4 linked regions of the Ovis aries genome follow. The protein of the gene in region 1 purifies or fractionates together with the protein of each later gene. This does not show direct contact. Links are inferred from orthologs where the notes say so. Each region holds a gene or a part of one and is shown in the gene's direction. Other genes may lie near its edges.

What was found.
Region 2: the proteins of CUL7 (region 1) and FBXW8 purify together in Homo sapiens (affinity purification with western blotting; 12 studies listed by BioGRID and IntAct, with this or other methods). This does not show direct contact. The link is inferred for Ovis aries from reciprocal best matches to the Homo sapiens genes CUL7 and FBXW8.
Region 3: the proteins of CUL7 (region 1) and LGALS3BP purify together in Homo sapiens (affinity purification with mass spectrometry; 3 studies listed by BioGRID and IntAct, with this or other methods). This does not show direct contact. The link is inferred for Ovis aries from reciprocal best matches to the Homo sapiens genes CUL7 and LGALS3BP.
Region 4: the proteins of CUL7 (region 1) and GLMN purify together in Homo sapiens (affinity purification with mass spectrometry; 4 studies listed by BioGRID and IntAct, counting the BioPlex papers as one, with this or other methods). This does not show direct contact. The link is inferred for Ovis aries from reciprocal best matches to the Homo sapiens genes CUL7 and GLMN.

Annotation. Positions count from the first base shown.
Region 1 is NC_056073.1:16,663,050-16,670,283, reverse strand, and holds part of CUL7 (cullin-7), read left to right. Parts: coding exon 1-21; intron 22-125; coding exon 126-297; intron 298-475; coding exon 476-581; intron 582-885; coding exon 886-981; intron 982-1,117; coding exon 1,118-1,293; intron 1,294-1,401; coding exon 1,402-1,535; intron 1,536-1,860; coding exon 1,861-2,043; intron 2,044-2,342; coding exon 2,343-2,449; intron 2,450-2,558; coding exon 2,559-2,741; intron 2,742-3,910; coding exon 3,911-4,071; intron 4,072-4,233; coding exon 4,234-4,450; intron 4,451-4,561; coding exon 4,562-4,859; intron 4,860-5,554; coding exon 5,555-5,700; intron 5,701-5,822; coding exon 5,823-5,949; intron 5,950-6,037; coding exon 6,038-6,243; intron 6,244-6,493; coding exon 6,494-6,817; 3' UTR 6,818-7,234. UniProt on the Homo sapiens protein: Core component of the 3M and Cul7-RING(FBXW8) complexes, which mediate the ubiquitination and subsequent proteasomal degradation of target proteins. Core component of the 3M complex, a complex required to regulate microtubule dynamics and genome integrity.
Region 2 is NC_056070.1:58,086,480-58,094,118, reverse strand, and holds part of FBXW8 (F-box/WD repeat-containing protein 8), read left to right. Parts: intron 1-281; coding exon 282-478; intron 479-3,145; coding exon 3,146-3,352; intron 3,353-7,639. UniProt on the Homo sapiens protein: Substrate-recognition component of the Cul7-RING(FBXW8) ubiquitin ligase complex, which mediates the ubiquitination and subsequent proteasomal degradation of target proteins.
Region 3 is NC_056064.1:52,759,700-52,767,338, forward strand, and holds the end of LGALS3BP (galectin-3-binding protein), read left to right. Parts: intron 1-346; coding exon 347-547; intron 548-1,215; coding exon 1,216-1,347; intron 1,348-2,452; coding exon 2,453-2,705; intron 2,706-4,750; coding exon 4,751-5,783; 3' UTR 5,784-6,361; downstream 6,362-7,639.
Region 4 is NC_056054.1:69,546,266-69,554,436, reverse strand, and holds the start of GLMN (glomulin), read left to right. Parts: upstream 1-2,835; 5' UTR 2,836-2,922; intron 2,923-3,725; 5' UTR 3,726-3,749; coding exon 3,750-3,788; intron 3,789-4,200; coding exon 4,201-4,326; intron 4,327-8,171. Other genes in the region: putative RNA polymerase II subunit B1 CTD phosphatase RPAP2, read right to left, coding at 1,867-1,912, 2,631-2,703.

The DNA of each region.
Region 1 (7,234 bases):
TCCTCAGATACCTGTGCCAGGGTTCGTGCGTGTACCCTCACCACCCCGAGTCTCCACACCTCCAAGTGTTTCCCCCCCCCGCATCTGCCAGGCTGTGACCACCACCCCTTCCCGTGTGCCCGCAGGCTCCAGCATGGAGGTGAAGGAGGACAAGTGCTGGGAGAAGGTGGAGGTGTCGTCCAACCCACACCGGGCCAGCAAGCTGACGGACCGCAACCCCAAGACCTACTGGGAGTCCAACGGCAGCGCGGGCTCCCACCGTATCACCCTGCACATGCAGCAGGGCACCCTCATCAGGTAGCGCGCCCCGGGCCTGCACCTGACACACACCCTCGCCTTCTCGCGACTTCCCTGCTGTTGGTCTTGGGGAGGGCCCCCGTCCCCCTGAACGTGACCAGAAGGTCCCCTTGGCCGTGTCTGTGGGCACCCGACTGGATCTGGAGCTGACTGGTCCCTCTGCCCTCGCCCCTCCCAGGCAGCTGGCTCTGCTGGTGGCTAGCGAGGACTTGAGCTACATGCCGGCCAGGGTGGTGGTGTTCGGGGGCGACAGCGCCACCTCCCTTAACACGGAACTCAACTCGGTAGGGCCCCTTGTGCCGTTTGGCCACCCCTCATGGGATCCGCCCTCCTGCCCAGATCCCTAAAGGCCCGTGTTCCTCCATCTTGAGCCCCATAGAAGGTGAAGTCTGTCCGTGTGCCCCTGTGATGGCATCAGGCCCCGGGCAGTGAGGATAGCATTGGGACCCCCTCCGTCAGGACCCCATGCACCCCAGGGCTGGGGGAAGGAGGGACAGCAGGGCACAGAAGCAGACTAGGGTGCCTTCAGCACTCCCATCCACACACCGGGCGGTGACCGTGCTCTCTGCTTGCCCCCCACCCCGCCAGGTGAATGTGATGCCCTCCGCCAGCCGGGTGGTCCTCCTGGAGAACCTGAGCTGCGTCTGGCCCGTCATCCAGATCCGCATAAAGCGCTGCCAGCAGGTGGGGCTGGGGGACATGGGGTGGGGGGCGTGGGCCCCACGCTCTGCACCCTGTGACTTGCAGTTCTTGGACCAGCACTCCAGCCCATCCTGAGGAGTGTGTGGGGCCGGTGGAAACGGGCCTGTGTGCGTTGCAGGGCGGCATTGACACGCGCATTCGGGGGTTGGAGGTCCTGGGCCCCAAGCCCACCTTCTGGCCGGTGTTCCGGGAGCAGCTGTGCCGCCACACGCGCCTCTTCTACATGGTCCGGGCACAGGCTTGGAGCCAGGACATCGCGGAGGACCGCAGGGGGCTCCTGCACCTGAGCTCCAGGTGTGCGAGCACGTGTGCGCCTGTGTGCCTGAGGGGTAGCCTGCAGTTTCAGGCTGGCAGACTTGGGCTTGCAGCCCCCAACACCTTCCCACCCCCTCCCCTCCCCAGACTCAACGGTGCCCTACGCCACGAGCAGAACTTTGCCAGTCACTTCCTCCCTGACGAAGAGGCCGCCCAGGCACTGGGCAAGACCTGCTGGGAGGCCTTGGTCAGCCCCCTGGTGCAGAACATCACCTGCCCTGGTAACCGCCCCTGCCCCGGCCCATTCACCATCCCGGTGCTCAGTCCCACTCTCCAGTCCCTGCTTGCTCTTTCCTGGGTGACGCCTTTGGCCCATTTGGCACCCGCACTCATTCAGCCTCCCCACGCCCTCGGCTTCTCACAGCCCAGGGGCGCCTCCTTTCCATGTGTCCCGGGTGTCAGCTGACCCCACACAGTCAGGAGGGGCCTTGCTCCCTCCCCTCCTGTGGCAGTCCATTGCTCTCCTCTGCACGCCCATCCAGGCCAGCCTCCCCAGCAGCCTCTGCACACTCGCCCTGCCTTAGCTTGTTCTTCCCCCGCCTCCAGATGAAGAAGGCGTCAGCCCCCTGGGCTGGCTGTTGGACCAGTACCTGGAGTGTCGGGAGGCTGCCCACAACCCGCAGAGCCGCGCAGCAGCGTTCTCCTCCCGGGTGCGCCGTCTCACCCACCTGCTGGTGCACGTGGAGCCCTGTGAAGCGCCCCCCGCGGTGGCGGCCTCGCCTCGGCCCAGTGAGTGCCAGGAGCTGGCTGGGGGGGCATCTCCTTCCTCACTGTCCCCTCCCTGCAGGCGGCCACGCCTCGGCCCAGTGAGTGCCGGGAGCTGGCTGGGGGGCGTCTCCTTCCTCACTGTCCCCTCCCTGCACGCTCAGCCTGCTGCTCGCCTCCTGGTTTGTGTCACCCCCACCGGGGAGCATCATTTCAGTGGGCAGCATGTCCAGAAAGACCCCCTGAGCTCAGCCCTGGATGGGGGACCCAGGAGCTGAGGAGCTGCCCCTACCCTTCCTCTGCCCCTCCCGCTGTGTCCACAGAGGGCAGAAACAGAAGCCATGACTGGAGCTCCCTGGCCACCCGGGGGCTTCCCAGCAGCATCATGAGAAACCTGACCCGCTGCTGGCGGGCGGTGGTGGAGCAGCAGGTGGGCCGGCCAGCCGGGCGGGTGGGCCGGCCAGCCGGGCGGGTGGGCGGGCGGGGCTGTGCCCCCGGCGTGCTGGGTTGCCTTCACGCTGCCAACTCCCACCCTCCAGGTGCACAGCTTTCTGACCTCACGCTGGCGGGATGATGACTTTGTGCCCCGCTACTGCGAACACTTCAGTAATCTGCAGAAGGCGAGCTCCGAGCTGTTTGGGCCACGGGCAGCCTTTTTGCTGGCGCTGCAGAATGGCTGTGCTGGTGCCCTGCTGAAGCTGCCTTTCCTCAGAGCTGCCCACGTAAGCCTCCTGTGTCCCCTGCCCTGGGACCTCTCTCCTCAAACTCTCTCTTCCCCTCCTCAGAGTTGCCCACCCCCTACATTCCCACTCAGCAAGAAGCATGTATTGCTATAGACCCATGTTATCAAAAATCTGGAAAAAAAAAAAAAGGGAATTCCCTGGTGGCCCAGTGGTTAGGACCCTGTACTTTCACTGCTGTGGGCCCAAATTCAATCCCTGGGCAAGGAACTAAGATCTCACACACACACACACACACAAAGATAAAAGTAAAAAATGACCTGCTTTGTGCCATTCTAATATATCTTTGCATACCTTCTTCTACTTGCATGCTTGATTTCACTTAGTTTTACCCACAAGTAGCTAAATGCTTTATCCTGTTTTTTTTGACCCTTACATTAAAAGTCATTTTCATGTTGCTATTTGTCCTCAAATTTTTGCATAGAGCCCATCAAATGGATGTACTGTAATTTCCTCCACCGTTCCTATTATTCCAAGTGCTTAACCCACTCCAGTATTACTGCCTGCCGAATCCCACGGACAGGGGGAACCTAGTGGGCTACAGTCCATGGGGTCACAAAGACTTGGGACATGACTGACCAACTAACACTTTTAACATGTGTCAGGCACTGTGATAAGAGCTGAAGATAGATGAAGACCCTTCCCTCCAAGTTCACAAATCAGAAAATTTATGTGACTCACTTTATCTCAGTGGCCTTGTGTGCTTGTCTCCTTGTGTTAAATTATCATTGTTGGATTTTAGACATGCTAAATGTGAAAATCATGTTTATCATTGTTAGTATTTTTTTTAAATGTTATTTTACTGAATTTATTTGGGGGTGTCATGTCTTAGTTGTGGCACGCGGGACAAACCCGGGCCCCCAGCATCAGTAGCATAGAGTCTTAACCATTGGACCATCAGGGAAGTCCCAGTATTGTTAATGTACACAGTTGTTAATGATTTTAGGAATTTTATAAATTGTTGTTTATAATTGTTGACCAGTTGATAAAGCTGCTGGCCATTCATATTTCCTTCCTCAGACGCTCCTCCTCCCTGTGCTCCCACTCACCAGCTTCATTCTCTCCTTCAGTTTCTGACTACGATCATACCACCCTGAACACACCCGATCTCACCTCCTTCACAGTTTTCCTGTGCTCTCCCCACTGCCCAGGTGAGCGAGCAGTTTGCCCGACACATCGACCAGCGGATCCAGGGCAGCCGGATCGGTGGGGCCCGGGGAATGGAGATGCTGGCCCAACTGCAACGATGCCTGGAAACCGTCCTCATCTTCTCTGGTCTGGAGATAGCCACCACTTTCGAGCATTACTACCAGTGAGTGTGGACCGAGGAAGTGGGAGGTGGGAGGAGGCAGGATGATGGGCAAGGCAAGCCCTCGGGGTCTGGGGGCTGGGGTCTGGGTAGGCTGGAGTCTTGGAGTGGGAGGCCCTGCCAGGCAGCCTCACCAAGACTCAGCCTGGGCTGTGCATGCTGCAGGCACTACATGGCGGACCGTCTCCTGGGCGTGGGCTCGAGTTGGCTGGAGGGGGCTGTGCTGGAGCAGATCGGCCCCTGCTTCCCCAGTCGCCTCCCCCAGGAGATCTTGCGGAGCCTGAGCACTTCAGAGGAGCTGCAACGCCAGTTCCATGTATACCAGCTCCAGCGGCTTGATCAGGAACTCCTGAAGCTGGAGGACACAGAGAAGAAGATACAGGTGGAAGCGGGGGAGGGAACTAAACCAGCAAGAAGAGAGGAAGGCAGAGAGAGGCTCGGGACAGACCTGAGGAGCCGGCTGGCTTAGGGGCACCCTGTGTTCCATCTTCAGGTGAGCCGTGACGCCAGCGCCAGTGGCAGGGGCCATGAGAGAGGGACCGGGGAGGAAGCTGAGCTGGAAGCTGGGGCTGTGGCGGCAGCAGCAGCAGCCGGCGTGGCAGGGGAGGAGGAGGAGGAGGACGAGAGCGAGGATCTCTACTATGAAGGGGCAATGCCAGAAGTGTCTGTGCTCGTCCTGTCTCCACGCTGCTGGCCCACCGCCTCCATCTGCCACACGCTCAACCCCAGAACCTGCCTGCCTGCCTACCTGAGGGGCACCTTGAACCGATACTCCAACTTCTACAACAAGCGTGAGCAGCTGGGCTGAGGGAACTGGGGACCTGGGAAGAGGATAGGATGCTGGGAAAGAACCTGGGCTTGGCGGTGGCCCCTGGGCCTGGCAGCCTGTAGATTTGAGAAGAAAAGACTGGAACTTAGGTTTGGAGTAGGGGTGGGGTGAAACGGCACCAGATCCCGGGACTGTTGCTGTTTCTATTCTTCAAATAATGACCTGGGACTCCCATTATGGTGGGGAGAATGGAGGCAGAAAGCACCTGAGGTCCACAGGTGGTGGTGGGTGTCTGGCTCCTGGTCAGTCATCATAACCTCAGCTCCCCACTGGAGGCTGATCCTAGGCAGTGAAAAGGAGGTGGGTGATACTGAGACCTTGCCCTCAGGGAGCTTCTCTACCAGCTTCAAGACAGTGTTTCCAGTTTGAAGAGAGCCCCAGTCCTTTCTCACTTCGTGACTTTGTCTCCCTTAAAAAAATGGAGAACCCCTCGGAGGCACTGATCACGGGCTGCCTGGCATGGGGTGGGCTCCCAGATACCTGAGGCTGACCCAGGAGGCAGACTCAAGGAAGGCCAAGCTCTGGAAGCTCAGACCAAGAGCCAGTGTCCAGACACACTGGACCCCAGGCTCTGCAGAGGTTAGTGAGGACAAAACTCCAGCAATGGCACGTCCTCGCCAGCCCCCCGACTCCTGCCACCTCCCTGACCCTCCTCAGGTCAGAGCTACCCTGCCCTGGAGCAGGCCCCGCAAAGGCGACTGCAGTGGACATGGCTGGGCCGGGCGGAGCTGCAGTTCGGGGACCAGACACTGCACGTGTCCACCGTGCAGATGTGGCTGCTGCTGCATTTCAACGAGCTGAAGGTGGCCCAGCTCCCCCGCGCCCCCCTGTTCTCGCAACCTGTCCATCCTCTTTCTTCTCTCCACCCTCTCTCTTCCCTGCCCCCCACCCTGGGAGGCCCTGATGCTTCCCTCTTCTTCCCAAGGCGGTCTCTGTGGAGAGTCTGCTGGCGCACTCGGGGCTCCCTCCAGATGTGCTGAATCAGGCAATTGGGCCTCTGACTTCGTCAAGGGGCCCCCTGGACCTTGATGAGACAAAGGACACCCCAGCAGGTCTGTACTTAGGGCACTGGGGCCTGTGTCCTCAGCCGGGGCCAGTGTCCTCGGGGGACCCCTGCCAAGTGACCAGCACTTATTTCAGGGTTGCTCAAGATTCGAGACGGCAGCGAGGAACCCAGGCCTCGGAGGGGCAACGTGTGGCTCATCCCAGCTCAGACATACCTGAAAGCTGAGGATGAAGAGGGCCGGAACTTGGAGAAGAGACGGAACCTTCTCAACTGCCTCATCGTCCGAATCCTCAAAGCCCATGGGGATGAGGGGCTGCACATTGACCAGCTTGTCTGCCTGGTAGGTGGCGGTGGGTGGTGGGTGAGGGGGCTTTGCCAGTTGGAGGGCAGTCTCCAGGAGGTGGGGGCCTTGTGGGGTGGGGGGCAGTCTCCAGGAGGAGGTGGATCCCCATGCGAAGTCTTGGGCTCACTGTGGACCCTGTAGGTGAGTGAGAAGTGAGGTTGGGCCTCGCTGTCCTTGGACTGGGGGCTAGAGTTGGGGTAAGCTGGGTGTCCCTGACCTCTCTTTCCCCTTCGGCCCACCACACCAGGTGCTGGAGGCTTGGCAGAAGGGCCCATGTCCTCCCAGGGGCCTGGTCAGCAGCCTTGGCAGGGGGTCCACCTGCGGCAGTGCTGACGTTCTCTCCTGCATCCTGCACCTGCTGGGCAAGGGCACGGTGAGACGCCAGGATGACCGGCCCCAGAGGCTGTCTTATGCGGTTCCCGTGACTGTCATGGAGCCTCACACTGAGTCCCTGAACCCAGGCTCCTTGGGCCCCAACCCACCCCTCACCTTCCACACCCTGCAGATCCGCTCCCGGGGCGTGCCCTACGCCTCCTGCACAAGCACCCAGAGCTTCTCTACCTTCCGGTAGCCCTGGAGACAGGGTCAGGGTTAGGTAGGGCCGGGGCTTTCCACAGAATAAAATGCAGGAGTTTGATTACTTGGCCTGTGTGGTAACTGCCAGGGATCTGCCAAGGGTGGGGACTTTCCTGGCTGAAAGGAGACAGGAGCCCTCAGCTCCGAGGCTGAATCACGCCATGCCAGGGTCCTTTGGGTGAGGATGGCAGGCTGTGAGTGACTGAGCACCCTCCTCTCAGCTGGGGGAATTAAGTGGACTCCAGGGGTGGGCCTTCTTGGAGGGTATGTGGTTAGAAGAGCTTTCACCTGGCAGGCTGGAGAGTCAAGCCCATCTTGCCACAAGCTGGATGGCTTGCAACTTCAGCAGATCATCAAGCAGGGATCTATTTTCCTTGTTTGTGGAATTGACTGGACACTGCCTTCTGGAGCT
Region 2 (7,639 bases), on another chromosome or scaffold:
TGAATTTTTATATTTTTTAAAATGCTGTATGTCAGTTGTATTTCTTTTCCTGTGAACAGCATAACATGCTTAGGTCCTTTGTTCACTTTTCAGTTGCTTTTTTCTTTATTGAATCATATAAACTCTTTGTATATTAAGGAAATTGACCTGTTGTTATGTGTCATGCAAGTATTTTTTACCAAGTTATTATTTATCTTTTTATTTTTCTTTATGTTACATGATTATTCTATAATTGTGTGTACTAAGTGAATTTGATTCCTGAATTATTTTTTTCTACATAGGATTTCTTAATATTTGGAATCTAAGGACTGGAAAGTATCCTATTCATCGTTTTGAGCATGATGCAAGAATACAAGCTCTAGCCCTCAGCCAGGAAGATGCAACAATTGCCACAGCCTCTGCTTTTGATGTTGTAATGTTATGTCCCAATGAGGAGGGAAATTTGCAAATAGCTGCAGAATTTGAAGTTCAGAAACTGGTGAGCTTTTAATCTGATTGTTTTGTTTTTCATTCTTAGAATCTCTGTGTCTGATACAAACAGAAATGATACTGACAGCACCCATCTGCCCAGGGCTTCCTGTGGCTCTTTGTCCATAAATCTCACAAGAGCTTTGTGAAATAGGTAGTTTTGTTTCCTCCATTTACCAACAAGTCAGTAGAGACTTAGAGTGGTGAACTGACTCTTGCCCTAGGTATAAGTTGTGATTTAGACCCTAGGACTGACATTGGGGCTGCAGTTTCTCATCACTGGCATCCTCAGCCTCCTTCGGATTGACAGGACGTTCACCCGGGCATCTGAGACCAGGATCTGGCCTGATACAAGAGTGAAAATGAGTGCAGTGGTACATCCCAGGCCATGTGGGAAAGAAGGTTTCCCTCCTACACTTTTTCCATCGGAAGGTTTTCTCACTTGGCATCAGGAGTAATTCTTGAATGAGAATAGATTTGGTCAGTGTTGATCAGGTAGGCGTGTTCCTCAACACCGTGTATGAAACTGAGTTCGCCTTAGTAGTTCATTACATGGAGCCTGTTTCTGAGTTCAGTTGTGCCTGAGCCTCTACATTTGTGTGGTGGGAGACCATGTGATGGTAAGAAGGAAGAGCTGAAACCTGTTTATGTTGAATTTGGGTTTAGTTTAAAGTGAACTTGGTTTTGGCACTTGTAGGAGAGTGAACAGAAAAGCCAACACTGAATAATAAATTGATGGCCGGACCTGGAACAAATCCGCCTCCTTTCCCTTTTCCTCCCAGTGGGAATCTTGTTAGACATGAATAACTAAAAAGCCATGGTGTCACCACCTTACCTCTGTAAGCTGCTTGTCCTGTTAATGACAAGCCTGTCTGGTTTGGGGGTAGCATTCCCCAAAATGCCTGGTGCTGTATTCTCCTCTTGGGGTTTTATTAGAGAAATGCAAAAGTACCATATTTTTGTTTCTTCTCAAAACCACGTAGTGCTTGTTATTTGGCCTCTGCCTAAAGAACTCTGTAGATTAACAATGATTATATGAACTCAGACACTTAAGATGTGAGTCCCTCCAGAAAGTGCAAATCCAACCTTGGCACTCAGGCGGCATGCTGGCACCAACCAGAAGCTTTGTGAAGTCGTGTCCAGTTCCCAGCAAATGGCACAGTCACAGTCAGTCTGAGCTCTTGATCTGCCAGAAATCCAACATGAAGGTGAAATTTAACAGCTAGACTGAGGATGTTGATTTTAGGAAAGCAAAAAGTGACGTTTAGGATGGGGGACAGGGGACTCGAGCGGCCACTGCTGGAGGCATGTGTCATAACACTGTCCATTGTTTCTCACCCTGGATGAGGGCCATCCCTGGAAAAGGCACCTCCAGGCTGGGGGCTGCGCCATCTTTGTCTTCCTCAGATAGGCTGCCTGAGTCACAGTGGCAGTGTTCCCGGGTCGGTAATGCCGGCCCAGAACAGCTGTCCTTTGTGATGGGCGCTGGGCTGGGGATGTGGGCCACCACTCACACCGTCGGGCCTGAGGATTAGCAGAGTTACCCAGATGTTTACCTCTCAAGCGCTTCTGGACGGGTCTCAGGATTCAGGCCTTTGAACTTGCTTGGCTTCTTGTCAGGGACTGTGGATTTTCATAATTACAGAGGTGGCTCACCTTCTGCTTTTGTCCTCTCAGAATTTATTCAGGGAGGTGAAAACCTGATATAAATGGCCCTGGGGCAAGCATGCCCCTTCTGAATCTAGAAAAGCAAATTATTCTTAAAGGGAGCCCCTCCAGTGCGTGCCGACTAGAGAAAGCGGCAGCAGTAGCACGGCCGGCAGGACTGTGTGGTGTTTCGTGCTCCCTGTGGCCTTCCGACCTTGGACGAGGTTGAAACCGGGAGGAAGCAGGTAACTCAGACACTTTCAGCAACACGTTTGTGGTATTTGCCCAAGCGTGACAATACAATTTTGGCTAATTTGGAACTGAGTGAATTTTGTCATTTATTCAGTCTTTTTATGAAGAAATAAAAATTAACTCTGGTTTTTGAATAGTTATTATAGCCTCGTGGTTCAGAATTTAAAAGATACAATCTGGTTTATAGTAAGAATCTCCCTTCTGCTCTGTCCCACAACTCATTTCTCTCCGTGAAGGTGGCCACTGTTAGATTTACGCACATACAAGCCAAGTGTGTCCCAGGCTTCCTCTGCCACTTTTACACACCTTGCCACACTGTAAAGTCCTCTTCCTTTGCTTCCTTGCTTTCCCCCCCAAGTTTGTCTTAGCAGTGATCTGTTTGTAAGAGTTTATAGAGAATGTCAGTGGTTTTTTCTGTGACTGCATGGTATTCCAGGACATCGGTGTACTGTAGATTGTTTAATTAGTCCCTTAGTGAGGCATGTTCTGGGTTTTCTGGTTCTTAGCTGTGACCAAATAGGGCTGCAGCAAATAACCTTGTGAATTTTCACTTTGCATTTCTCTTATTAGGAGTATGCTGTGTTTCTTTTATGATGAGCATCATTTCATTTGTGTAGGAACTGTGTTTCACTTCCTGTGAACCATCCCTTGACCTGTCTTTTTCTGTTGGGTTGCTGATCTTCTCATTGACATGCAGGAGGAATTGTTCATTTGTGACCAAGTCAGGACGAATTGTAGGTGAAACCTGAAGGACTAACCAACCCTTATCCTTTAACAGGTTGACTACCTTGAAATAGTTCCGGACACTGAAAGGTACCCGGTGGCAGTGGCCACCGCTGGAGATCTTGTATACCTGCTAAAAGCTGAAGACTCTGCCAGAACCCTCCATTACGTCTACGGGCAGCCGGTCACGTGTCTGGACGTCTCCGCCAACCAGGCTGCTTTCGGTGTGAAGAGTCTGGGATGGGTGTACGAAGGAAACAAGGTACAAAAATAGAAAGATGTACGATTTAACAAAAACACATGAATGTTATATTTGAAGAGGCAATTTGAAAATTAAATCTCTGATATATTTTTAAAAGATGTGTTCAGGCAGTATATATTGATATATATATATGTGTGTGTGTGTATATATATAATCAGCCTGGTTAAAAAAGATTTCAGGTAGCTCAAAATGATATAAAGTGGCAAGTAATTTCCTTTCTCTTCCCTTCCCCCAGCCCTACTCCATAGAAGAAACTATTAACAGTTTTTAGATATCCATCTAGAAAATTTTAATGCATAGGTGGGTACGTTTATACACTAAAAGAGTGTATCTTTGAAATGAGGTCGTAGTGTAACTACTGTTCTGTGCCCAAGGTTTTATTCAGTAGCGTACCCTGGAGAGCATTCCGTGTCAGCTCCCTCTCCCTGGGATTCCAGCACTGCCTACGACAGTCTGCTTCACCAGTCTCCTCATCGCTGGGCACTGAGGTTGCTTTCTCTCTCTGTGGACTGTTAACAGACAGTGCTCCAGTGCACACTGCAACTTGTCAATCCCCGGGATGAATTCCTAGCATTTATGCCGCTTGGTCAGAAGGTTGATGGACATTGCCAAAGTGCCTTCTGATGAGGTTGCCTCGAAATTTACATCCTTTTCTGCAGTGTGTAAAGTGCCTCTTGATACTCTCTGAGCCAGAAACAAGGAGACAGGTTTCTAATTGAAATTCTTTGCATGATGACTCGATTTTAGCACTACTTAGTATTTTACTATCCTGACTGTAGGCCAAGTATTTAGTCTTAAAACTGACTTACAGAACTCTCTCTTCCAATGGGATCAGCGGGGAGAGTTATGGATAAAGGTTTGTGTTGTTTTGATTTTCCTCCAGTTTGCTGGCTCCTCACCCTGCTGGCAGTGGGTATAATCCCTGGGAAGGAACTTCTCCGAGCCAGCAGCTCCTCTGATATCGTCCTTTTCCTGTGGAAAGAGCCCTTTCCACGTAGCAGTGTCCTGAACTGGGAGAGAGCTAGACTGGATACAGGCTGTCTGTGTTCCAGTTCTAACCCTGCCACCCGCTCCCCACTGTGACCTTAAACGGGTAGCTTAACCTGCATTGTGCCTTAGTTTCCTCATTTGTAAAAAGGAGTCCCATCACAGTACTGACCTCGTAGAATTCTAAGATTAAAGAAACAACGTGTGTAAAGCTTTACCCATAGTGCCTGGCATCAGAGAATTAACAGTCTCTGAGTGCTTCCTGTTCTTTTTCGCACTCATAGTCTGAGCCGAGCCTCTGGTTGTGGTTTGTACATTTTGTCTCTCCTGTGTAATCTCCTGGAAGGTCACATCTCACTTCTCTAGGCGTTTACTGGTTTTGTGACTTGGATTCCTATTATATGTTCTTCAACCAGGAAGACAGATAAAGTGGTTGAAAATACATGAGACTCATTGTAATCTCACTGTAAAAAGGGATCCCTTTGTGCTCAAGCTGGCCTGCTTTGCTGGAGCCTGTTTAGCGTATCTTAGCTGGAGAGTCTGTGATGATATAATTCCTGTGTTTTATCCTCCTGGAAAGTGGGGAAAAAGGGACAGCAGTTGGTTTCCTAAGGCAGTTTCCTTTGTCAGCCTTTGAAAACACTCTTTTCCCATCCCTGGCAAGCTCAAGCTCATTTATTGAAAGAAGAGAGACTATTTGCTTCTTAATTTTTCATCCATCATGCTTTCAGGTTTCAATTATCTCTCTTATTTCTCAGGTTCTCAGTGTAGTGAGGTGATACCTGAATTAATACTAGCCTGGTTTAAATCTTTCATAGTTTTAGTAAATATTTCAGCTGACAGGTCCTATTTCTCTTTGACTTATCTGAGTGGATCTCTTTCTATAGTGATACAGTCGTAGTTGGATGTATTTGAGAAACAGATATATTTGAGAAACCAGTTAAAGGGATGTGTGTGTGCTCAGTTGCTCAGTCGTGTCCAGCTCTTTGTGACCCCATGGACTGTAGCCTGCCAGACTTCTCTGCCCATGGAATTTTCCAGGCAAGAATATTGGAGTGGGTTGCCATATCCTCCTTTCGGGGGATCTTCCTGACCCAGGGATTGAACCTTTGTCTCCTGCATTGGCAGGCAGATTCTTTACCACTGCCATCTGGGAAGCCAAGCCCCTGGTTAAAGAAATAGCTCAGCACAAAATTAGACTTGGAGCACCCTTTAGATATTGGTCTAAATAGGCGCTTTTTTGGATGGCTCTCAAATTTTCCAACCCAATTAAAAAGCATTAATTATGAGAATTAGCTGATTTGTATGTTAATTTGATAAAAATTCATTTTAAAAAGTTCCTGTTCCCTCTAATAACTTGCTGTTGTTCACTTACCAAGACATGTCTGGCTCTTTATGACCCCATGGACTGCAGCACACCAGACTTCTCTGTCCTTCACTCTCTCCTGGCGCTTACTCAAACTCATGTCCATTGAGTCAGTGATGCCATCCAGCCATCTCATCCTTGGCCATCCCCTTCTCCTCTTGCCCTCAGTTTTTCCCAGCATCAGGGTCTTAACCGGTGAGTCGTCTTTTCTCATCATGTGCCCGAGGTGGAGCTTCAGCTTCAGCATCAGCCCTTCCAGTGAATATTCAGGGTTGATTTCCTTTAGGATTGACTGCTTTGATCTCCTTGCAGTCCAAGCAACTCTCAAGAGTCTTCTGTAGCACCACAGTTGGAAAGCATCAATTCTTCAGTGCTCAGCCTTATCTATGATCCAACTCTCACATTCATTCGTGACTCTTGGAAAAACCATAGCCTTGACTAGATGGACCTTTGTCGGCAAAGTGATATCTCTCCTTTTTAATAGGCTGTCTGGGTTTGTCATAGCTTTTCTTCTAAGGAGCAAGTGTCTTTTGATTTCGTGGCTGCAGTCAACCCTCCGCAGCGATTTTGGTGCTAAGAAAATAACGTCTGTCACTTGTTAGTAGGTGTTTTCCATTGGTGTTTTAAGAGTGAAAGTAAATTTGCTACAAGAATGTGTTTAAGCACCTCTCTGAAATCTTGCAGTGGCATTTAGTTACCCAGAGGTTTTGTGAGTACACCAGCAAACTTTGATACCCTTGGGTGGGTGGGCTGTTAGTAGCGCTGGTGAGAACTCTGCATTAAGATGTTTCTCCAACATGAATGCCACCCACTCAAACGTGAGGAAAGCCAAGCCTTTGCTGTGAATCTTTCCTTGTTTTTGCAGAGGCGGGACTTTCCATCTGATTATGCTTAATGGGTTTTCTGCTTCTTCAGAAAAATCAGCATTGCCATGTGAATTAAGCCATGTCACAGTGGCTCTGTGAGGTTTCAGTAGCATCCTGCCATTGCATGACGCACTATTGTAATTCTCAAAGTCTTCTGTGTGGCCTCCTAGTCACCTTGCTTGTGAGTTCCACACTTTGGTCCTGTTGGTCTCTGGCCTGGCAGCACATGAACAGCACTTTTTATCAGGTTAGTGTGAGACTGTTAGCAGTAGAGCGAGCCTGCAGCTGCGTCCATGTGGGGATTTGTGTCTACCTCTGGCCATATGTCTAGGATTCAGATGAAGGCGTTATGGGAACACAGAGTTCGGTGTGTCTTCGTTTGTACCAGATACAGAACTGGGGGTCAGCTAGAGCCCACTATTGATTGACTGTGATAAATGCAGATGTGAAGTCCAAATGTTGATGTCAATTTTTTGGCGGGAACTGAAGTTTCCCTGACCTGTAGGAGTATTCCAGTAGTGTTATTTTTGTTTACTTGGAGAATATCCTTGTACCATCTGATGATCACATTAACATTCTCTAGGTACTACAGCTGTCTGAGCATAGTAATAATGGTTCAGACTCATCCATTCACATGCCTACTAGCCAACCTGTCACATATTCATCACAGAGAGTTACAGGACACCAGTCATGTTTCAGCTTTGGAAAATTAAAACAGCATTGTGCACAGGTCTCAGTAGTCTGGTACGTAGGTTACTAAGCTAGTAAACATAGTTTTATAAGGAAATGAAGCCAAGTGACTTAGGAGAAATGATTTATTTAATCTAAGGAAACACATGTGATTACAGCTGGGTCAGCCATGTCCAGCTCTGGTAGGAAGACCAGAGAAAACGCTAGTGGTCAGCCGCATCTTGGTTTGTCCGTGGCATAGGGATCCTCAGATTTCTGGATTTCAGAGGCCAAAACTAGAGGCCATGCCTGGGTTTACCACCTTTTCCTTTGGCCAGGTAAAGTCATGGAAAAATGGCTATTATCTATTTTCATTCTTTCTTAAAAGAGCAGATCTTT
Region 3 (7,639 bases), on another chromosome or scaffold:
GTCCTGCCACTCCACTCTCAGGTGGCACCAAGCGCCCCCCTGGCCCTTCTCGATCAATGGCACGAAGGACTCAGACCCCAAGGACTAGAAAGGGGACATCTACACCCTCAGTGTGCGTATGGAGGGGGGTGTCTATGTGTATTTTTCACTCCTCCCAGGGGGTGATCCCCTCGAGGATGGATGGGGTGTTCAAAGCTAAGGTCCAGGGTTCACCCCTGTTGGGGAGAACTCTACCACCCCCACGAGAGCCCATGGCCCCCAGGAGTGTGGGGTGGCCATGCTTCCGCCCAGGGATGAAGGCCCAGCACTCAGCTTCCATTCTTGCTGACCTCTGCTCTCCCTTGAGAGCCCGCAGGCGTGAAAGATGGTGACATGCGGCTGGCCGATGGGGGCTCCGCCAACGAGGGCCGCGTGGAGATCTACTACAGCGGCCAGTGGGGGACAGTGTGTGAGAACATGTGGGACCTGACAGACGCCAGCGTCGTCTGCCGAGCCCTGGGCTTCCGGAACGCCACCGAGGCTCTGGGCGGGGCCGCCTTCGGGCCAGGTAACCCACGGGTGCCCCAGAGCAGGACGCGCTGCCAAGGAACCAGGCCCAGGAAAGGGTCATACCCAAGGCGTGCAAACGGCATTCCCACCACTGGCAAAGGTTTCCAAGGGGTTGAAGCCCTGAGCTGGCCAAGAGCTGGCGGCCCAGCCTGCACTCACACTTGCCTGGAGACTGTTCCCTCCAGCCAGAAACTCCACTCCGGACTTTACCTTCTTGAAACAGTTTCCCCCTAAAAGAAAAGTCTGTGTGCAGTGCCTATGATTCTGAAAAAATGAGAAATCATCCACGTATTCAGCCACAGGGGTAGATGCATAAGTTACGCAATAATTGTTTGACATCTACAAAGCCCACCGACCGGGTCGAACAAGGCTAGTTCATGGTACAGAGTTTCAGTAATAGATCTGGACCCCATGCTCGAGTAGTCACACGAGAGTACCGGGTGAAAGCACCTGCCCACGTGGACCCACGCTGGGGGTTACGTCACCAACCAGGGGCTGCTTTACTGGGAGGCAGGATTGCAGAGTGCTTTTATCCATCTCTGTGCGTAACCGCGACTGTCCTTTACTAGGCTTCTTGGGGAAGCAGCACTGTTGGGAGGGCCTTCCTCCCAGGGCCGAGAGCCCCAGCTCCCCCTCCAGGCTCTGTCATCCTTGCTGTGCTTCCAGGACACGGCCCTATCATGCTGGACGAGGTGAGGTGCACGGGGACAGAGCCCTCGCTGGCCAACTGCTCATCCCTGGGCTGGATGCGGAGCAACTGCAGACACGATGAGGACGCCAGCGTAATCTGCACCAACGGTGAGCCCCATCCTGGGCCCCAGAGGCCCGAGGCCTGGATCCCAGGGACGGTGGTCAGGCCGGCTCCCCGGCTCCACGTGAATCATATGCCTCCCTACGCGAAGGTTCGCAGGTGATGCCCACTCTCCAGGAGGGACAGGAAAGCCCGCAGTTCCTACCACAGTAAAGAATCCCCCTGAGACAGGAAGCAGTTGTCACCGGGCACAGGGAATTGAACCCATGTCCTCTGCGCTGGAAGTGTGGAGTCATAATCTCAGTACCAGCAGGGAAGTCCCGGTCAGGGAACTAGGATCCTGCATGCCATGAGTTACAGCCAAAAGAACCCAGTACTTGAGTGCTGAAAATTGCTAACTACCCTCCGAGCCTTCAGCAAGTCATAATCCTTTTGCAATAGTAACATCGAATATCACTGAGAATTGCCAAACCATGACGCAGAGACGCAAAGTGAGCAAATGTCATCAGAAGAAAAATAGCAAGACACTGTCGCACCCTTCAGTTTCTGAGAAACATGGCAACGCACAGCGAAGCGAGGTGCCTGTGCACCCCACGTCTGCACACTGCAGGCTCACCCCTTGAATCGGCAGCCTTCTGTTTCTGCTGGGAAAGGGGGTGCATCACCTCCAAACCAGGCTGGGAACTTCCAGGAGCTTCTCTAGGCCTCAGTCCCTTGTAGGAGGCTGCCAAGGACCCCAGAGCTCTAAACCACATTGCCGTGGGACACTCTTCAGACCAGACGAGGCAGGAGGTTCAGGTTTTAGACAGTCACATCTGGGTGATTGATTGACTGACTGATTGGGATAGGACCCCAAGTTCTGGAAGTCAGCCCCTCCAGATCCCCCCAAGATGTGCCATCTGAATGTTGGGGGGGCAGGTGAGCTACAACATAGGGGTGTTTGACGGGGTGGGGCTCTGGGCCACGGGGGGCGACGGCACCCTGTGTTCCAGGGCTGTTCTTTCCTCATCTCCCCAGAAGCCTTTCTGAGCTGATAAGGCAGGATCCACAGTTTAAGGGAAGAATCTGACTCCGGGGAGCAAAACTCTGTGTTTTCGGGTCACAGAGGAAGCGAGTGCCGGGGCCCCTCCTAACATGCATCCCCCTCCATAGAAACCAGAGGTGTCTACACCCTCGACCTATCCGGCGAGCTCCCCGCGGCTCTAGAGCAGATCTTTGAGAGCCAGAAGGGCTGTGACCTGTTCATCAGGGTGAAGGTGCGTGAGGAGGACGAGCTGGCCATCTGCGCCCACAAGCTGATCCTGTCCACCAACCCCGAGGCCCATGGCCTGTGGAAGGAGCCGGGCAGTAGGGTCACCATGGAGGTGGATGCTGAGTGTGTGCCCACCGTTAAGGACTTCATCAGGTGAGTGGCCTCGGGGCCGGGCCCAGGGACCGGGCAGCGTCCCTGCCAAAGGAAAACCCCAGGGACGAGGGACGCGACACCAACCGCAGCTGTGCTCACCTGAACACACGCGAGGGCAACCACATACGTGCTCTCTCACTTGTGCGCACACATGCTCACACACCCACACGTGTGCACACTCACTTTCACAGCCACACGTCCTCACCTTTGCACACACATTCTTATGTATTCTTTCCACAGGGACTGTGAGAAATGGGTCAGCCCTCACACGTACACACACACACACACACGCACACCACACCTGTCTCTCGGGTGTCATAAGCACCCAAAAAAACTATCAAAGTCATTCTTCCTCTTTTCACCTCACTGATCTGCTCCTGCAAAAGTTTTTTTTAAAGAAACAGGAATCCAAGTCTGCTGCCGGAAGAAAGTGGGGAGAAAATTCCCAGGTGGCACCGTCCAGGCGGCAGTCTAACCAGCGGGCCATCCACGCTGGGAGCCCATCTCCCAGTTGAGAGTGGCCCCCGAGGCCCCTTCCCCTGCAGACCATCCTGCTGGGGGGTCTCTATGTCACCACATCGGGCGGGCTTTCCAGGGACTGGCGTTCTGGGAGCATCAACTTAAAGAGAGAACCAAGTGTATGAAAAGCTGTTCCCTCTCATGACCCAAAGTTGTAGCTAGCCGAAAGTGACATTTAAGAGGAAACAGCAAATGGCAGTTTAAAAAGATTAAATGGCGTCTTTTCAGCCGAGGATGAGAGCTTGGCCGCTGTCCTGCGCCCCTCCCAGCAGGGCTGAGGTCTGTGATGCGTCTGTGCCTGGTCCCAGCCTCTCGGCAGTCACCGCCCTCGGTCAGAGTCAGCGGTTCTCTGGACTGTCTAGCCATGTGCTCCAGCTTGCTCTCTCTGTCTCTCTCTGCCTTCCTGTCTCCTTCTGCCTCTCACTCCATCTCTATCTTCCTGTTGCCCTGTATCTTTGTGTCTCTCGCTCCCTCCCTCTCTCTCTGTCTCTCTCCCTCCTCTAAGGCAGAGAGGCAGCAATGAGCCCCACCCAGGCCCTAGAGGGTCTCTGGAGACCCTGGTTCACTGCCTACACCACCCCCCACTCCCCTTCCCTCTGCCCGGCAGCCCCCACGTGGTGCAGATGACCATTTTGGTTCTCGAGTTCACATTCAGCAACAGAATCACAGGATGTACTGAGCACATCAGGGCAGAGCGGCAGGTGGGACGAGGACCGGCCCACCCTTGCTGCTGCCACTGGACTCTGTGGGGTCCCGGCTCCTTTCTGGGCACCCGAGGCTCCGTGTTCAAGTGATGGGGAAGCCAGCAAGTCTGAGGCTCCCTGGAAGGCTCGTCATTCGAGAGAAGTGGTGGACAGAGTTTGGTTCTTTCCAAAGCAGGGCCCCATTCACCATCTCCCAGGAGACGGCAGGGGCCATTGCCTGGCGTTTCCCCTCCCAGCAGGCTCCCTCCACACGTGTCTTCATGAGCAAAGTGCCTCCTGGTGGCACACTGAGTTACACGGTGGGTGGCATAGACTGGGTGCCACCCACAGGGCTCACAGCTGGCAGGGATGGCAGACAGGAGGTGACCCATGATGATGCCCATGTCATGGGGGCACCAGACAGGTGCTGGGGCAGAGGGGCACCCATGGGCACCCAGTGGGGAAATCAAGAGTTCTGCCCAGGGGTGTGACAGGGGAGAGGGAAGGGCAGAGCCCCGGATGGCCAGCGGGTCCTGGTGTCGGGGCCCAGCCCATGAAGATGACGGTGATGATGGAGGAGGTGGCGGGACCGTCCCCATCAGTGAGGACGAAGCAACATCCTCAGGGTGTCTGGGGTCCGCCCAGCTGCCTATGCACTTGGCTCTCGGCCCACATAGCTTGGAATGGGGGTTGACTCAGGAGATAAGTCAGGGGGCTCCAAATGCCCCCTGAAATAGCTGGCACCCCGGGGATCAGCAGTCAGCCAGACACCTGCACCGGGGCACACCTGTCGTCCTTCGGGAGAAGGGGTGTAGCCAGGCGTCAGCCCTCGTCTCCCCTCAGGTACCTCTACTCCCGGAGGATCGATGTGTCTCTGTCGTCAGTGAAGTGTTTGCACAAGCTCGCCTCTGCCTACCAGGCCGAGCAGCTGCAGAGCTACTGCGGGCACCTCTTTGCCATCCTCATCCCCCAGGACCCCTCTTTCCGGACACCCCTGGAGCTCTACGCCTACGCCCTGGCCACCCGGGACCCCGTGCTGGAGGAGATCTGCGTGCAGTTCCTGGCCTGGAACTTCGGGGCCCTGACGCAGGCCGAGGCCTGGCTGAGCGTCCCCCCGGGCCTGCTCCAAGACCTGCTCTCCAGGACCGAACTAGTGGTGCCCAGCGAGCTGGTCCTGCTGCGGGCTGTGGACGAGTGGAGCCGGGAGAGGAGCACCTCCCACAAGGAAGTGGAGGGCTTGGTGGAGAAGGTGCGGTTCCCCATGATGCCACCCCGGGACCTCTTCTCGCTGCAGTTTAACCTGTCCCTGTACTGGAGTCACGAGGCGCTCCTCCAGAAGAAGATACTACAGGCCCTGGAGTTCCACACCGTGCCCTTCGAGCTGCTGGCTCAGTACTGGGGCCTGAACCTCACCGAGGACGCCTACCAGCCCCGGCTTTATACCTCGCCCACCTGGAGCGAGTCTGTGATGAGCTCCAGTTACAACCCCTACCGGTCCTTCCAGACGCCCCAGCACCCCAGCTTCCTCTTCCAGGCCAGTTCCGTCTCCTGGTCTTTAGTCTACCTCCCCACCCTCCAGAGCTGCTGGAACTACGGGTTCTCGTGCTCCTCCGATGACCCCCCACTCCTGGCTCTCTCCAAGTCCAGCTACTCCAGTCCCACCATTGGCTATGAAAACCGGGCCCTGCTGCACTGTGAGGGGAGCTTTGTGGCAGACGTCATCGACTTCAAGGGCTGGAAGGCCCTGATCCCCAGTGCCCTGGGTACCAACAGCTCCAGGAGCACTTCCCTCTTCCCCTGCCCGGCAGGGCTCTTCAGCAGGTTCCAAGTCGTCATCCGTCCCTTCTACCTGACCAACTCCACGGGCATGGACTAGACTCGAGGCTGGAGGTCGGGGTGGGCAGGAGCCCAGAGGCTGGGCACCTTCCTCCCCTCCACATCCTCTCTGCAGCCACCTCCAACCACCGGCCACCAGGTGGCCCCCCTGCTTCCCTTGATCTCTCTGAGCTTACGGAAATTACTGGAAGACTTCAGCTACTGCAGACTTCCCTGGTGGCTCAGATGGTAAAGAATCTGCCCACAATGTAGGAGACCTGGGTTCAACCCCTGTGTTGGGAGGATCCCCTGGAGAAGGGAATAGCAACCCACTCCAGTATTCTTGCCTGGAGAATCCCATGGACAGAGGAGCCTGGCAGGCTACAGTCCACGGAGTCTCAGAGTCAGAGACAACTTGTTGCAAAGAGTTGGACACAACTGAGCATCTAACACTTCCTTCCTTCCTTCAACTAGTGCACTCACAAGCTGAGAACTCCCACTTCAACTGCACAGCTAATTTGTTGGGAAGCAATGAGATGTGAGCCAGGAGCTGTTGGGTTTCCTACCTGGCCTTTCACTTTCTCCACCCTCTGCTGTCCCTTATCTGAGATCATTAAAATTGTACTGTGGTTCCCCCAAGTTCTCTTGTTCACGCAGAATGGGCTGATGAGTCCATAGGGTGTTGAGACAGAGGATGATGCGCTAGGCCCTGGGATCCAGTAATGAGCCAGTGTGGTCCCTTCCCCGTGAAGCTGCTGTGGTCTTGTAGGTGAGACAGGCCATTACAAGTAAGCAAACACTTGGGGTGAGGACCAGCGGGAATAATGGGTGATGGAAACCAGAGGAAGGAAGGTGGGAGGCACGGGCTGGAGCTACTTTAGTGGATCTCAGTGGAGAAATGAAGCGTGCGAGGCAGCAGGCGTGGGGGAAATGGCAGGAGGGTGTGTGTGTTCCAGGGAGAAGGATCAGTAGGTGATCGGAATCTTGGCCCCATCAATCTTCCCACTTGTGTACAGGGAAGGGGGCAGAGATTCTCGTCCCAGCATTGTTTGTAGAAGTGGAAATTTGCAAAGAACGTAGAAGGCCACCAATGGGGTGCTTGAGCACAAATAAAGGACACCCACAATGTGGAGGGTCAGGCAGAAGGGTATACGGAAAGGAGACCGGAGGACCCACGGAATCTAGGGCAAGGCAAGGGAACCGGACCTGGGGTCCCACAGGGACATTGTGTTAGAATGCCACCACCAGGTTCTGGGCGCTGGAGGCTGCCCCTGCTGCAAGCGGGGCAAGAATTCTAAACTGTCCCCGCTTCTTTGTGATACACACGCTCCAGGCACCAGGCCCCAGTGGAAGCATCTGGTTGGCCAGGCCCAGGCCACGTGCCCTTCCCCCTGGCCAGGGTCTGAGAGAACAAGCACCTGGACTGTTCTGGCCTTGAGAAGGGAGGCAGCACTGGACTCACCCAACGGGAGGGAGATCCAGAAGCTGGGCAGCCAGGACGGCAGCTGTCCCCACTACACACGCCTCTTCCCCTCTAGCCCTGCGAAAACAAGAGCAGGGACACACGAAGCCTGCCCCTGCCCCCATGCAGCTTCACCCTTTCCCAGAAGGCGCCCCTAGCCCCAGCTCCCTCCCAGGGTCCAGGCCCACCATCTTGGGCACCTCTATGGTGGTCCTTTGACATCATAAAAATCTACCACTTTGTTTAAACCACACTGTTGACCATGGCCTTCACCGCCGTCGGGGACCGTAGCTGGTAAAGGAAGACAGGAAATGCTGGTTATCAACGTGCTCCAGACACACACAGGGGAGCGCCAGTCTCACTGAAGCAATGAGCCACAAACCCACAGCATCCTCCTCTCCTACCCACTCCCTGGACCTCTGCCCAGAGCCAGCACCCCAGAAGTGAAGGTACAG
Region 4 (8,171 bases), on another chromosome or scaffold:
AACACATACCACCCTTCCTGCCAACCTCTTTTGTTTTTAGTTCCATCACAGCCTTTTCATTTGCAATTATGTATTTATTTGTGATAATTTAATTGATATTTCTCTGTTCTACTAGACAGGAACTGTGTCTATACTGTTCAAAATCATATCCTCAGGGCCTCTGAAACTGAAAAACTCCCAAAAGAGAACACAGGCAGAACAGCCTTTGACATAAATCTTAGCAATTTTTTAAAATGTCTTCCAAGATGAAGGGAAAGAGCAAATATAAACAAACAGGAAGGACCTAATTATACTTAAAAACTTTTGCAAACAAAAGGAAACCATCAACAAAATGAAAAGACAATCTACTGATGGGGAGAAAATATTTGCAAATGATATGAATAATTAGAGGTTAATATCCAAAATATATAAACAGTTCACACAACTCAATATCAAAAAAAAAACAATCCAATTAAAAACTGGGCAGAAGAAACAGGACACTTTCCCAAGGATGTAGAGATGGCCAACAGGCACATGAGAAAATGCTCAACATCGCGAATCAGCAGAGAAATGCAAATCAAAGCTACAAAATGAGATATCACCTCACATCTGTCAAAAAGGCTATCATTTAAGTCTACAAATAACAAATGTTGAGGAGGATGTGGAGAAAAGGGAATCCTCCTGTTTGTGGGGATGTAAATTGGTGCACCCACTACGGAAAACAGTATAGAGGTTCCCTAAAACACTAAAAACTACCATATGATCCAGCAATTTCACTCCTGGGTATATATGTGAAGAAAATTACAACACTAGTTTGAAAAGACACATGCATCTCAATGTTCATAGGAGCATAATTTATAATTGCCAAGATACAGAAGCAATATAAGTGTCCATCAACAGACAAATGGATAAAGATGATGTGGTTTACACATGCCATGGAATACTACTCAGCCATAAAAAAGAATGAAATTCTGCAATCTGCGACAACATGGATGTCCCTAGAGGATATTATGCTTTGTGAAGTAACTCAGAGAAAGACAATTATTCTGACATCACTTATATAGAGGACAAACCAGTGGTTACCAGTGGGGAAACAGCAGGGGGAGGGGCAAGAGTGGGGTATGGGATTAAGAGATACAAACTATGTATACAATAAATAAGCAATAAGGAAGTATTGTATAACACAGGGAAATTTAGTTATTATTTTGTAATAACTTAGAATATAATCTATAAAAATATTTAATCTCTATATTGTACATCTGAAACTAATATAAATCAACTAGAGTTCAATTAAAATAAAAAAAAAATCTTATCCACAGGGACTAACACAGATCTAGCATATTTAACATTCAGTAAATAATTCTTGAATGAGTAAATTAAAACCAATACTTCATAAAATCATAACTTATAGATATATGCAGTTACATCATCCTCAAGGATGACATCTATTCTAAGAACCTTTTGTGCTAGGAGATAAACGTTGCCTTTTTAGAAGATGCCCATTGAATAGTATAGAACAACTTTTTGCTGAAAATATGGACATGATGTAAACAAAGAAAAACAACAAAAAGTTTCTTGGAGTCTGGTATATAGAACAAAAAAGGAAAGTATCTGAAGAGATGAAAAAAAGGTTCCTAGCTAATTCAGGACATTTTTCTACAGATAGTCATACATTCACCAGCAATCTAAAAGTGTCAACTTGGTTTTCTTAAGGTATGGAAGAGTAGGGGAAATAACAGTCTATTTGGGTTTACAGTACTTCTCAAATCTTCCCCTTCTCTCTAAATAATTTTACCTGAGGTAGCACCTATTACACTTTTTACAAATGGTTCAATTAGTATGAGATTAACAGATAAGTGAAAGCAGCTCTCTATGTAGTTCTCATACCTTTGAGAAGTATCTTCTTGGTTCAAGGCACTTGTCTGCTTAGTACCTACCATTAAAAGAAACAAAAAACAGTAGGTCAAGTGTACACAAACACCAGGTTACAGGACAGATTCTTGCCCCAGTAAACTGTAGACCATCTTTTCTTCTCCACACATTTCACTTCCAACTCTGTGTGAAAATCAAATGAAATGAGAAGGGAATCCAATTTGGTTTTGCAAGCTAATTATTTTTGTTGTTTAAAATGTACCTCTTTCAGACTGAATTTTCTCATTATCCTAGTCGCATAATTAAGCACTCCCGAAAGCCTGCGATCTAGGGGCAACCTCTCTCCGTCCCCCTCAATGTTAGCTCTCCGGTCCTCAAGAGATCCAGGGCACCACAGGGGCAGTCCACCTGCAAGGACGGCCAGTGCTAGGGTGAAGGCCAGCAGCACTCGGCCTTCCAACGCCCTCCTGGTCACCTGCCCACTCAGACGACCCCGATTGTAGGCTCTCCAGGACCTCTGCTGCCCTTTCCCTTAGAGCCTGGAGCACAGCCAGCCCATTTGGGGGGAAATCTTGGAAGACTAGCGTCAAGAGTTGGGGATTCGGACGAAGGTCTTTCCCAGAAGGCGAGAGTTCGGCGGTAGAAAGCTCTTGGCCTTCTTGCCCCCGAGGATCTCCTTCCCTGGGGCAGCCTTTCGGGAGCGCCCGCATGCCTCCGTCTGGAATTCTGTCGGGGCCGAATTCTCAGTTCCAAACTTGGGAAGAGGCCCTTCCTCCTACCTGGGACATCTCGGGAGGCGCGGGGACGCCGGGCTTTGCGGCCCGCAGAGCACGGTCCGACCCAGTCGGCCATGGCATGCGTCGTCAGTGTCGGAACCGACCTTGGCGTCTTTCCCCCCCAAGACTCCGCCTCCCGTCGCGCAGCGCGGGGCGGGGCCGGCTGGGAGGGGAGGGGCCCGGAAAGCAGCGCGGCGGCGGTGGCGGCGGCGGAGGAGAGCCGCGAGACGGGCGAGAGGCCTGGCGGTAGGTGGATACACGCGGGGTCCCTGGCGGCCGGGGCCCGCGGTGGGAGGTGAGCCGTGGAGGACCCGGCTTCGGGGTCGAGGCCTCCGTGAGGTCTGGGGCCCAATGGCCGACGCAGGCAGGAACCGGGAGAAATGGCTTCCCTTGGATGCAGCCTGCACGCGCGCTGGGGTTTTATTCGCTGCTGTGAGGATCCGGCGGAACCCCGTCTCTACTACTGGGCCTGCGAACCGGGCGGTGTTGCCCTGAGGGCGGCCTGTTGCCTGTCTTCGCGCGATACAGTGATTTCACTATCACAATTGATTATATGGGGCGGGGCGCAGTACATCTGTTACAGACAGATGCCCGGGTCTGTAATGCTTGTTACTCTTGGGGTGGAAGGCATCCCAACTTTCATCCCCTCCAGTGTTACATTCCAATTTCTGTCAAATGGGACATTAAAAAAAAAAAAGAAAAGAAAAAGGCTCCCTGATAATTAGAATTGATTTCAGGCCCACCTTTGGGGCGCAGGGGTGGAGGAGGAGGGTGAAGACTGTCTTTTAAAAGATCTTAGGGTAAATTTGTGCTACCTCTTGGGAATGAACTAAAGACTTTCTTTCCCCTTCAATTTATCTTTCAAAATTATGCTCCAAAAAAACTTAAAGGACGAAAAAGAGGTTTTTGTTCTTCTGTTTTTTGTTTTAATTTCTTAGGCTAACGTTTCAGTAAAAAAAAGTTTCAGCTTTAAAAACTTTCCATTTTCTTTATTGTATTTATTAATAATTCATAAGAATGAAGTAACTTATACTGAAGTAACATGATGAAGTAACTTACTATTGATAGTTAACAGGGTATTTATATGATAAATTTCAGCATCAAAACTGGAAAAAATAAGGAATGGCTGTGGAGGAACTACAGTCCATCATAAAGAGATGTGTAAGTAATTTTTTGTTTTTATTTTTAATGACATTTAATGACCTTTCAGAATATGGGAAGAGCACAGATTATTTTTAGTTACCTGCAGTCACTCAAATTGTTAATCTTCTTTAATCCTTGCTTTTTTTGACCTATGAATAAATAGCATGAAGGCAGGAAGACAGATTGGATATGTCACTTAGGGAAATAATCTTTACACTTTTAATACGGATCCTTATCATAGATTTCTTTGGCACAGTGGATTTCAAGGCGATTTATTGAAGTATTTTTTTACCTAATCCTAATTTTCATACATACGATTATGTGCAGCTTATCTAGAATTTAAACAGATTTCTTTTTTTAGAGAAAAATCAAATAGTTATTGAATTTCCATTTGCCTAAACATACTTGTTTTTTTGTTTGTTTCTGCCAGCAAATCCTAGAAGAGCAAGACTTTAAAGAGGAAGATTTTGGCCTGTTTCAGTTGGCAGGCCAAAGATGTATAGATGAAGGGCACATAGATCAGCTATTAGAAATTATTCAGAATGAAAAGAATAAGGTAAGTACAATCTTTCTGAGTACTTTTTCAGTCTTTACTAGTAAGAGAATAGGCACATGATACTATCATTCATCCATTCAGTTTTTTCAGCAAACATTTAAGAATCAACTTAAATATCCACTATAGAAAACTGTGGAAAATAAAAAGGAAATAAGATCAGTTATATACTTTAAGGTGCTTACAGTCTAGTGGAAGATATAAACATGTAAAGAACTAGCAATAAAGAGGCAGAATAAACAGATGGTGTGTATCTATTAAATCATTTAGCTTCTCCAGAATAAGTGTTACAGTTGAAATATAAGTAAAATGTAAATAATATTTTGGGAGAGCTTGATGACCTTATTGGCCAATATAATCCATCATCCGGCTATAATTGTCTCAGAAATCATTCTGCACAATGGGAAAGGATCTTCTTGGGATCAGGAACAGGAGTTTATTAACACCACCTAATTTTGTCTTTGGACTCATCCCAGTCCCACACTTCCTATATAAGACATCATCTTGTTTCAAGGAACATACTTTCTAGTCCTATTTATTTATACAGTTTTTGTAGGGACTTCCTGGCAGTCCAGTGGTTAAGACTGGGTGCTTCCTCTGCAGGGGGCACAGGTTCCATCCCTGGTCAGGGAACAAAAATCTGGCATGCCATGTGGCTCTACCAAAAAAAATTTTTTTCTTTGTTATAACATTCTAGTCATTCTGGCCTAGGATTACATACAGGGCACTTTGATTGTATTTAGATTACTAAAATCTTTTAATCACACATTGTTATAGAATCTATTACTAATTCAAAGGGCTTATCTCTTTTTATTTATAATTTTTTTAGTAAATATTAGAATGTTTTATTTAGTACATTTGTTTTTGATATGTATTCGTAATACCACTGTAGCCCCAGATAAAATAATGCTTTCTTTAACTCCTTGGTTTTTCCCAATTGCATTCTCAGAGGAGAACCTTTGAGAGTATCTTACTTTTAGCTAATCATAATAAAATCAATAAAAGTTAATAATATTTATTGTGTATCTACTATGTGCCAGATGTTCTTAGGTGCTTTACATCTTTTAACTCACCAACCTAGATAGCATATTGAAAAGCAGAGACATTACTCTGCCAACAAAGGGCCATCTAGTCAAGGCTATCGTTTTCCAGTGGTCATGTATGGATGTGAGAGTTGGACTGTGAAGAAGGCTGAGTGCCAAAGAATTGATGCTTTTGAACTATGGTGTTGGAGAAGACTCTTGAGAGTCCCTTGGACTGCAAGGAAATCCAAAAAGTCCATTCTGAAGGAGATCAGCCCTGGGATTTCTTTGGAGGGAATGATGCTGAAGCTGAAACTCCAGTACTTTGGCCACCTCCTGTGAACAGTTGACTCACTGGAAAAGACGGTGATGCTGGGAGGAACTGGGGGCAGGAGAAGAAGGGGCCAACAGAGGATGAGATGGCTGGATGGCATCACTGACTCGATGGACATGAGTCTGAGTGAAGAGCTCCGGGAGTTGGTGATGGACAGGGAGGCCTGGCGTGCTGCGATTTATGGGGTCGCAAAGAGTCAGACATGACTGAGCAACTGAACTGAACTGAGTCTCTCCTGAATCCTCTGATAGGATTTTCTAGATAAGGAAAGTGTCACTGAAAAATTAGTGACTTGCCCCAAGTTACTTAGCTTTTACGTGACATTTGACATTTAGATCTGTACAGCCTGGTGTCAGAGCTCTTAACTATTTTCGTCAACCTCCATAGCACTGTGTAGCACTTGCAGGAAGTTTTAGAGTAGAATAGAGAGGACTGATTGTGAGATTGAGACAGGTGACATGATGATGGGGTTTCTAGCCTCTGAGGAGATAATATATACTGAACAGAAATAGGCAATTTAAGAAGGGGAGAAAGTTCCTTTGATGGAGGACAAGGAAGTTGGCATTGTTCACCAATGTTGAGTTTAAGATGCAACAGGTAATTGAAAAGTAATGTTTAGAGCTCAGTAGAGAAATAGGAGATTAAGATGTAGATTTGTGTCTGACTGTTAGAGATTAGGTGATTGTGATAGACTCGAGCATAGTGAGGCTTAACCTTAATAGCTTGAGAATCACCTTGGTAAAGTGTGGTTGTTTATTTTTTGGCTGAGCCGGGTCTTGGTTACAGCATGTAGAATCTTTTTTTTTTTTTTTTTAGTGTGGCATGTGGGATCTAGTTCCCTGACCAGAGATCAAACCTGGGCTCCCTCCAGCCTGCATTGGGAGTGCAGAGCCTTAGCCCCTGGACCGCCAGGGAAGTCCCATGTGTGGTTTTCTCAATTCAAAGGTTCAGATATCGATAAGACAGAGTTTAAAAGTACACCTTAGATTTCTTTTCTAAGAAAGGTGACAGTCAAGATTGATCAAGACTATTAATCCACTTTGTGCAAAAAAAAAAAGTGTTTTTTAAAGTCATAGGAATGAAAAAAAAAAGTAAATAAAGTCATAGGAATGGTAGTTTGTCCTAAGATGCTATAGTGCAGGGATTTCCAACATTAGTACTATTGATATTTTGTAGCAGTTGTCACCCCAGTAATGACAACCAAAATGTCTCCAGGCATTACCAAATGTCCCCTGATTGGGAACAAAAGCACCCCCATTGAAGCCACTAATACAGTGGGAAAACTGTGGGCTTTGGAGTGGGACAGCCTTATATGCAAATCCTAACTCTGCCACATTTTAGCAGACGTTAGGCATCTCAGTAATCTCTAAACTTTGGCATTCTCATCTGTCGGTTGGGAATAATTATTATTACCTGGTACAGTTGTTTATATTAAACTAAACAAGATGTAACTTCTGGATAGTTAGTATTCTTCTTCCTCATAATGATTCATTATTTACATAATTACTGGGGAACTTGCAGCTGAGATTATGATTGTATGATATGTTGTCACAATCCTTATTTCAACTCAGATATGTAAAATTTTATTCAAATCTGGAATTTCTCTTAATTATACTCAGAGATGGGCTTCCCTGGTGGCTCAGATGGTAAAAGAATTTGCCTGCCTTGCAGGAGACCCAGGTTCAATCCCTGGGTTGGGAAGATCCCCTGGAGAAGAAATGCTACCCCACTCTAGTATTCTTGCCTAGAGAATCCCATGAACAGAGGAGCCTGGCGAGCTACAGTCCACAGGGTCAGAAAGAGCTGGACATTACTGAGCAACTAACACATTCACTTTCATGCCTGATAAACTTCTGTTTCTTTAACAAGCCTTAGCATAACCATCCTCTGTTCTGGGAAGCCTCTCTCACTTTCCCTGGTTGGAAGTGACTATTCTGCTCTACTTTATCCTCTACCTTTATTATTTTATAAGACTGAGTTCATGCAGGGAGTAGTGTACTGATCTGTATTCTTTCTAGATGTATTTTCTTTTGAGTGAACCTAGAATATGAATCCTCTGAGGATAGATTGCTTATCTGATGTGTTTTTTTCTTTACTTCCTGCACCTAGAGTATTCTAGGGTCCTTTCAAATATGTTTGATAAATAGTAATGAGTTGAAGTAGAATGCAGGTCAGAGAAGTGCAGTATATTGCTAATAGTTTTGAAAATCAGTGGTTTTGCTCTAGGGTGGCTTGTATTTTTTTCTTTGAAAAGTTCTTTTAGATTTCTAAGTTTAGAATGGGTAGTAGGAAATTTCTTTTTATTAAAGTTGATTCTGAAAAAGCCAGATTAAGAAAGAAAACTTTAAAAAATAGTCCAGGAGAAAGTGGAAAACCAATACACTTGAAGGGAAACTAGAGATTGGCTAGAAAACTGACTTTACTGCCTTAAGACAGAAAACGACACCAACATTTTATTTTACATCTCAACATTTTCAATTTTACATTGGATT